Linked DNA regions of Ovis aries. The protein of the gene in region 1 interacts with the protein of each later gene in a pairwise test. Links are inferred from orthologs where the notes say so. Each region holds a gene or a part of one and is shown on either strand. Other genes may lie near its edges.

Region 1 (3,646 bases):
TAAAGGGGAAAGATGCCTCAGTGTCTCCTAGTCCCAAAAACAGAGCCCTCCAGCCACCTGAGGACTGGAGGCGGCTCTGGGAGGCAGGTGAGGGCAGAGCAGAGACAAGGGGCTCAGGGGGCCAGGCTGGTGAGCAGAGTGGTGAATTGCAGGGCCCTCCCTGCCAGGTCTGCCACACACTGCGCCATCTCTTGGGCTGCAGGGCTGGATGGGTAGCCCAGGGCGGCCCCCTTGATGGCCAGCACGGTGGCCCGCAATGCCTGGCCCAGTGCTGTGCCCGCGGCCCCAACCTGTGCTCGCAGAGGGGCAGAGGCTGCCAGGCGGCCCAGGGTATCCCCAACGAACACCAGGCGGTGGGCGGCCACCAGCACCCGCTTGCCGTGGGGCACAAAGAGGCGCGGGGGCTGCTTTGCCTGGGTGCTGGACATCAGGGCCGCCACGGCCGCCTGCAGTGTTGAGTAGTGGCCCCGGCACTGCCCAGCGTAGAAGTGCAGGAGCTGTAGATCTCCAGTGGGCAGAACCAGTGGCTCCCCAGGGGACAGGGCCTCCTAAGGGCGAGAAGAGGGTTCAGCAGGACTGCTTGGCCAGTGCCACTTCCGTTCTTATTTCCTTTCTCCTTCCCTCCCTTTGTTCCTCATGCCTTCCTTTCTCCCTGAGCTCGACCCCTTTAAACTGTACCTTCTCCTATCAGACAACTTAGATTCTCTTAGCGAGTGACAGGAAGATGCCCAGAATTGATGTTTGATAAATCTGGATTCAAACAACCTCAGAAACAAGTCTCTGAACGTCATCATTCCTTTATCTCCTTTATCTTCTTTATCTTCCTTTATCTTCTTTATCTACGGGGAGCCTAGTACTGCACTGTCCAATGTAAACATAATGCCAACCACATATGCTATTTCAAATTTCCAAGTAGCCACGTTAGAAAAGTTACAAAGAAATTGGTACCTATTTTGTAATTCCATATATTAAAAATGGTGTAGTTTCAACACTGTAATTAATGTAAAAATTATTGAAATTGCTTTCCATACTAAGTCTGCAAAATCTGGTGTGCATTTTATATTTACAGTGCATTTCAGTTCGGACTGGTCACACTTGGGGATGAGTAGCTGCATGTGGCGTGTGGTTACCACACTGGATCCTGCAGTTCTTGTTTCTGCCTCCTAAGGCTGCAGTGAAGATTAGCTGATCTTCACAAAAAGAGCTGAGAACACAGCACTGCAAACTGTAAGCACCGTATGAGTGCTAACTATTGCTATGATCAGTGCTGACAGGTGCAATGTACTTAGCACAGGTTCTGGCGCTTGGTACAAACGTGACAGATGGTAGCTATGGCGATTAGGACCATTCTAGACCATGAGTCGAGGAGACAGTCTCATTTCCTTGAGACCCAGAGAGATTAACTGGTGGCTTCGGAGGCCCTGGCTTCTTAGTGGTGGAGCTGGAATTAAGACCCAGGTCTCTTAGGAACCCAGGAATTCACAGTTGGAAGGAGCCTCAGAAGTCACCCGGCCCAGAAACTCTGTCCCCCCCCGAATGCTCGGTTTTCTGACTCCTCTCCAACACATTCTTTCCTCTCTTTCTGAATTCCTGATATCCTTTTCGAAGTTCCAGCTCCTTTCTGGATTCTAACTCCTCTCCACCCCAACTGTCCTGTTTCATTGAACTCTTACCCTCTCCTAAATAGACTTCCCTCGATGCCTCAGTTAAGAATACCCCTTCTTCCAGGTTCCTGCTCCTCCTCCCCTGCCCCCTTCTCTAGCACCAACCGCACCGGGTTACCTGCTGCTCTGGCGGCCCCCTCTCCAGCTGTTCAGGATCCCCTGGGGAGGCCTTATCTGGAGGCCTGGCTTCCTGAACTTTATCCATGCCCTGCGGTAGGGGATAAGGGCCTCAGTGCAGGGGTAGGGGAGCAGGGCAAGGCAGCCCCCGTGGTCTTCCCACTCCTCCCCACTCCCACTTCCTCCTGAAGGTCTCTCCTCCCATCGGATCCACAGCCTCCTGACTCTGGGTCTGGGAGAGCCCTAGTGGCAGGTCAGAGAGCTTGGGGACCCCAGGTTGGGTTGCGGCACTGATACAAATGATGTGGCCCAGTACAGGGGTCACAGGCTACAGGGTGCAGGGTCAGCGGAGGGGAAGAAGGGAATGGAGGAAGCCAGGGTCTGCCTCTGGGACCTCAGGTCTTGACCCCCATTCTCCTGGAGGCATTCTGTGGGTGCTGACTGAGGCAAGCTCACCTTCAGGTGGACGTAGTCGTACTCCTCAGCCACTGGGATGCCCTCGTACTCGTTGTGGTGTCCTGCCGGGTGGTCCTCCACCTCCCTGCCCTCCGGATCCCCCTCCACCTTGGGGCCCCCGTAGCCAGGCAGGCGCGGTGGGGGTGGGGGCAGGGGCCTGTCCTGGATGCTGCCCTTCCGGCCTGGAGCAGGAGAAGGAGCCGGGGAAGGGCTGGGGGCCTCCGGCACAGGCAAGGCAGGCAGGGGGCGACGGGACAGACTCTCGGCTGAGGGCAGCCGGGGTCTGTGTGGGGCTGGGGGGCTTCTGGCCAGAAGGAGGGCCAGGGTGTCCATGTCACTGGAGGCCGAAGCTCCCAGGGGCTCTGGAGAAGGGGGTGTCTCCGGCCCCAGCAGGGGGACGTCATAGATGCCCTCGTCAGCGCCCCCGCCTTCCCCATCTGCCAGCAGTTCCTCTGGTGCTTCGTACAGATTGAGCAGGGCTGATGCTCGTTTCAGGTTGGAGGGGGCAGCATAGAGGGGGGGCCCTGGTTCCCGGCCCCCCTCCCACTCCAGATCTAACTCCAGGTCTGATGGTGACTTTGGGGCCAGAGGCACGTCATAGGGAGCTTCATCCTCTCCAAGGGACTGGGGGGCAACCTGAGCCAGAGGGCGGGCAAAGGAGGCCGGGGAGTCATAGGGGCCATTGGAGGGAACTCGGAGGGCAGTGGGGGGTACGTCGTAGACCTGCAGAGGGAGAAGTTAGTTACTTTCAGGCTCGGCAGTGGGCCCCCCACTCCCCTAAGCCATCTCCGAGAGCCATCTGTCCCCTGTCCAACAGACACATGAACCCCTAGCCCTCACCTCCAAGGCAGCTCCAGGGGCAGCCAGTTGGGTCCCACCGCCTCTGGGGACCTTGTAGATGGGGTCAGGGGAGGGTGGGCAGGGTCCAGTTGGAGGTCTCGAGGTAGGACAGAGTCGAGCTGGGGGTGGCACCACGTACAACTGGGGGATCGACAGGCAGGAGGGTCAGGTAGAGTGGGGAGCAGGGAATCATAGTGTGCGCCTGGGAGGAGCTTAGACACCTTCCAACCCCCTCCCTGTGCCAGTGGAGAAAGAGCCCAGAAAGACTTGGCAGACAGGATTTGAACAGCAGGGTCAGTGCAGGGCTGGGGGTCTCAGGGCTCTTTCTGTCCCTCCTGAAGCAGCAGAGAGGAATAGGTTGTCCAGAATCAGGGTTGGGGGGCTCCAGTGCTTACCTCCTGGTCCTCACTGCCATGCTCCGGGGCCGGATGTGGTGAGCCTGGCTGGGTTGGGGGCACCTGGGAGAGGCCAGGCTTGGGTGCTGGGCCAGCGGGAAGGAGCTTCACTCTGTTGGCAGGCACGATGCCCTGCTGGCCATGCAGGGAGCAGAGGCACCAGCCATCCAGCCC
Region 2 (3,646 bases), on another chromosome or scaffold:
CCTACCTTATGGGGCTGTTAAACAAGGGGTCTGCACAAGGCAGCTGGCACAGCGTAGGCCCAGGTCCCGATTCCTCACTCGGCTCATTCAGCATGTTCCTCACACGCCCCCCGGTGTGTGCCTGGCCCCCCTGACTCCGTCTTGGCATTTCTGCTGCTCAGCGCTCTCCGGGTCACACAGATGGGCCACATACACAGGTCGGCTCTCCTCCAGCCACGCTCCAGGACACCTGGACAGACACCAAGTGCGGCCTCCTGCCGCTCAGTCCCCACGCCTCAGCACCCCCACCGCGGGACCCTGGCCTGGCCCGGCCCCCCGGAAGGCCACTTGGCCACCCCTGCCTCCCCTGAGCCCCTGCGGGTCCCTCCCAGGAGTCTCGGCTCATATTTAAGGCCTCATAATCACAGTTGACGTTTCATCCGCCTGCTGGCCCATCCGGGGGCCCACCCCTGTGGCCCCTCCACTGCAGCCCCCTTGCTCGCCATATGAGCCCCAGGGCAAGTCACCTTGAGTTTCTGGGGTGACGGGAGTGCTACCCCACAGGGCGTTTAAGGACGGACGCTGAAAGTACACTCAGGAAGTGATGGGAGTTGCAAGGAAAGACAACAGGTGAGGCTGAGCCTAGGCAGGACCCCCGTGTTTCCCGGAGTGAGGGCGAGCGGAGCCTGAGGGCCGGTGCGGTCTGTGGATCCAGCCTGCCACTCAGGAAGCCCTCTATCCTGGGTCTTGTCTCCCTGCACCAGCAGGGACACACAAGCCCCCCTCAGCTGCTATACCGGCTGGCTCCCGGCTGGAGGTGGCCGAGGGCCCCTGAGCCTCCCTTCCTTGGCCTTCTAGGGACAGAAGACCAGCTTGTTGGTCCTGGAGGGCATGGGCTTCCGTGTGGGCCAGGCCCTGGGCGAGAGGTGAGAGGCGGGCAGGACCTGCAGTGGGCTCCCTTCCTGGGCAAATGGGTGGGGAGGGTGCCTCGATCCAGACAGGATCCCAAGCCAGTCTCCTCCCTGTTCCTCACCCCGGGGCTCCCCCAGCCTGGCCCCCACAGTGTCTGCTGCTGCTCCCCCCCCAGGCTGCCCCGGGAAACGCTAGCCTTCAGGGAAGAGCTGGACATCCTCAAGTTCCTGTGCAAAGACCTGTGGGTGGCCGTGTTCCACAAGCAGATGGATAGCCTCCGCACCAACCACCAGGTGTGTGCCCCCCGGGCAGACAGCGGGCAGAGGCCGGAGCCCCGGGAACCCAGGGAGGGGACCCAGGCTCAGGGCAGTCACAGCAGGCTCAGCTCCCCTCGGGGCCTCCCCACAAGGCCCCCCAGGACAGGCCCCTCGCGGCTTGCGGCTGTGCCTCGGCCTGACGCGGCTTGTCTGCACCCGAGCCTCGTTCCCATTAGGCACCCACGCTGGGCCTGGCTGGTGGCCTGATGGCCTGGGCTGTATCTTCTCCCCACCGGGCACCCTGGAAATCGTGCAGCAGGGGCGTGGAGGGGAGGACACCAGGCCCTGGTCGGAGGGTCCACGGGTCCTCATATAGCCTCGAAGGACGGCCCAAGACCGACCACAGCCATTTTGTGGGAAGGGTCCTTCCGGACCTCAGGGTGGCGGTGCTGGGCCCTTGCCTCCCCTCCCTGCCCCCACCAGGAAGGTACAGGTGCCACATCGGCTCCCTGGGACCCTCCTCTGTCCCCAGGGGACCTACGTCCTGCAGGACAACAGCTTTCCCCTCCTCGTCCGGATGGCCTCGGGTCTACAGTACCTGGAGGAAGCACCCAAGGTACCGGGCGTGATTCCAGCCTGGGGCAGAGGCCTCTTCCCAAGCCCAGGACCCTGGGAGAGGGAGGCGGACCCATTCCACCCCGCTGTGAACGCTCAAGCCCACGTGGCCCCGGGGTGTTGGCCTCCCCCTGCTCTGCCCACGGTGACCTGTGTGCCCCGCCCCTAGTTCCTGGCCTTCACCTGCGGCCTCCTGCGTGGCACCCTCAGCACCCTGGGAGTCAAGAGCCTGGTCACCGCCTCCGTGGCAGCCCTGCCCGCCTGTGAGTTGGGGTGGGGGGGATCCCCCCTGCTCCCAGGGGCCGTGGAGGTGGGGCCGGGCCGCCCAGCCCCACTGCAGATGGGAATCTATGGCCCAGAGAGCTGAAGTCCCAGGCCCAGGCCACACAGGAGGTGCAGCCCATCCACGGCCCTGCCCCCGATGTCCTCCTAGACTGCTTCCCTGGGCGTGCCAGCCTGGCGGGGACAGCCGACGACAAGGACCTGGGCTAGTGTTTTCCAACACTCTTCCCAGTGCAAGAACCCAGGTGGACACAATAGGAGTCACCTGGGGATGGTGGGGTGGGCGGTGCTGGGCTGAGGAGCTCCAAAGGCAGCCAGTGTGAGGGGGTGTCCTCCTGACCCCGGGGCCCTGCTGGCCCACAGTGCCCGCCAAAGGACAAGCCGAGGCCCCACCCTTCCCTGGGGGCTGCCTGCGACCAGCCCTCCACGCACCCTTCCCTCGGGCGTCTTCCCCTCTGCCAGTCCCCAGGGCCACACATCATAGGGGACTGGGGCCCAAGCCGGCAGGATCTGAGCCACATGTGCCACTGAAACTGGGCCAGGTCCCTCCCCGACAACCTACGTGCCTGACCTGCTGCCTGCCCTTCGTGCCCCCAGCCACCCACACAGCCCTGGGGCACAGGCCAGGGGTGGGGCTAGGGCACCATCATCTCAGGCCAGCGAGGCAATGAGGTCCAACCAGGGCCACCCAGGCTGAGGGCACTGGGCCCGGGTGAACGGCTCAGAGCAGCTGGGGTGCCACCTCTCCCCTCCGGCCCCAGCCTCGAGCTCAGGCCAGCCCTTCTCTTCCAGGTAAATTCCAGGTGGTGATCCAGAAACCTTGAGGAGCCCCAGGTCCCACTCCCAGACGAGCTTCACAGCACCCTGGCCCAGAGAACCCCGCTGCTGCCTGTGCTGGGGGCTGGTGCTGGGGAGACGGGGTCCCCGCACTGCAGGGTGTCACAGATGCCCAAGAGATGGGTGTCAGAGGGAGGTGGGGGTGTCCCGGGGGCCAGGTGGTCCCCAAGGCATTCAGGGCCGGTGTGGAGGGGGTCTGCACCACACATGTCCCTCCACAGGGCAGGCGCTCAATAAAGGTTCTGTAAGTGGAACCAGACTCAGAGTGGAAAGCGGGGCGGTGGCGGGGGGGAGGTGCTGGGGGCAGGGGCAAAGCGACTGTGTGTCACGGGCCCAGTGTGGAGGTACCCCGTGGGGCTTCCTCCCCGCCGAGTCCCTTCCTCCCCGCCGAGTCCCTGTGGCTGGCCGCCTCCCGCCCCACATACCTGGCAGGGGAGGATGGCCCCCAGCACAGGCAGCCTTGCCAGCATGGACAAGTCTGGGGCTGCTCTCTGCTCAGCGGGGTCCAAAGAACGGACCTCTCCCTGGGAGCAAGGCCATTGGCCCCTGGAGTTGCTGCCAGGTGTGGGCTGGCCTGGGGGGGCCGCCAGGAACAAGGATAGGTGAGTGGGTGGGCCAGACACCCTCCACTCCCCTAACACACACACACACTCTATCGAATACACGCTTAACGTGCCTGGCGGATACGAGTCATACCCAGAACAATGGCGCCGCTGACTAGTCTCTGGGCAGTTCAGCCTCCGTGCCCACACCCCACCCCCTGC

Evidence for each region.
Region 2: the proteins of EFS (region 1) and TRAPPC6A interact in binary tests that used the Homo sapiens proteins (3 or more experiments, as listed by UniProt). The two-hybrid records come from large-scale screens. The link is inferred for Ovis aries from reciprocal best matches to the Homo sapiens genes EFS and TRAPPC6A.

The regions. Positions count from the first base shown.
Region 1 is NC_056060.1:21,376,014-21,379,659, reverse strand, and holds part of EFS (embryonal Fyn-associated substrate), read right to left. Parts: coding exon 3,473-3,646; intron 3,219-3,472; coding exon 3,078-3,218; intron 2,961-3,077; coding exon 2,238-2,960; intron 1,873-2,237; coding exon 1,783-1,872; intron 549-1,782; coding exon 114-548; 3' UTR 1-113. UniProt on the Homo sapiens protein: Docking protein which plays a central coordinating role for tyrosine-kinase-based signaling related to cell adhesion. May serve as an activator of SRC and a downstream effector. Interacts with the SH3 domain of FYN and with CRK, SRC, and YES.
Region 2 is NC_056067.1:52,607,351-52,610,996, reverse strand, and holds the end of TRAPPC6A (trafficking protein particle complex subunit 6A), read left to right. Parts: intron 1-837; coding exon 838-905; intron 906-1,066; coding exon 1,067-1,184; intron 1,185-1,680; coding exon 1,681-1,764; intron 1,765-1,932; coding exon 1,933-2,026; intron 2,027-2,837; coding exon 2,838-2,869; 3' UTR 2,870-3,136; downstream 3,137-3,646. UniProt on the Homo sapiens protein: May play a role in vesicular transport during the biogenesis of melanosomes.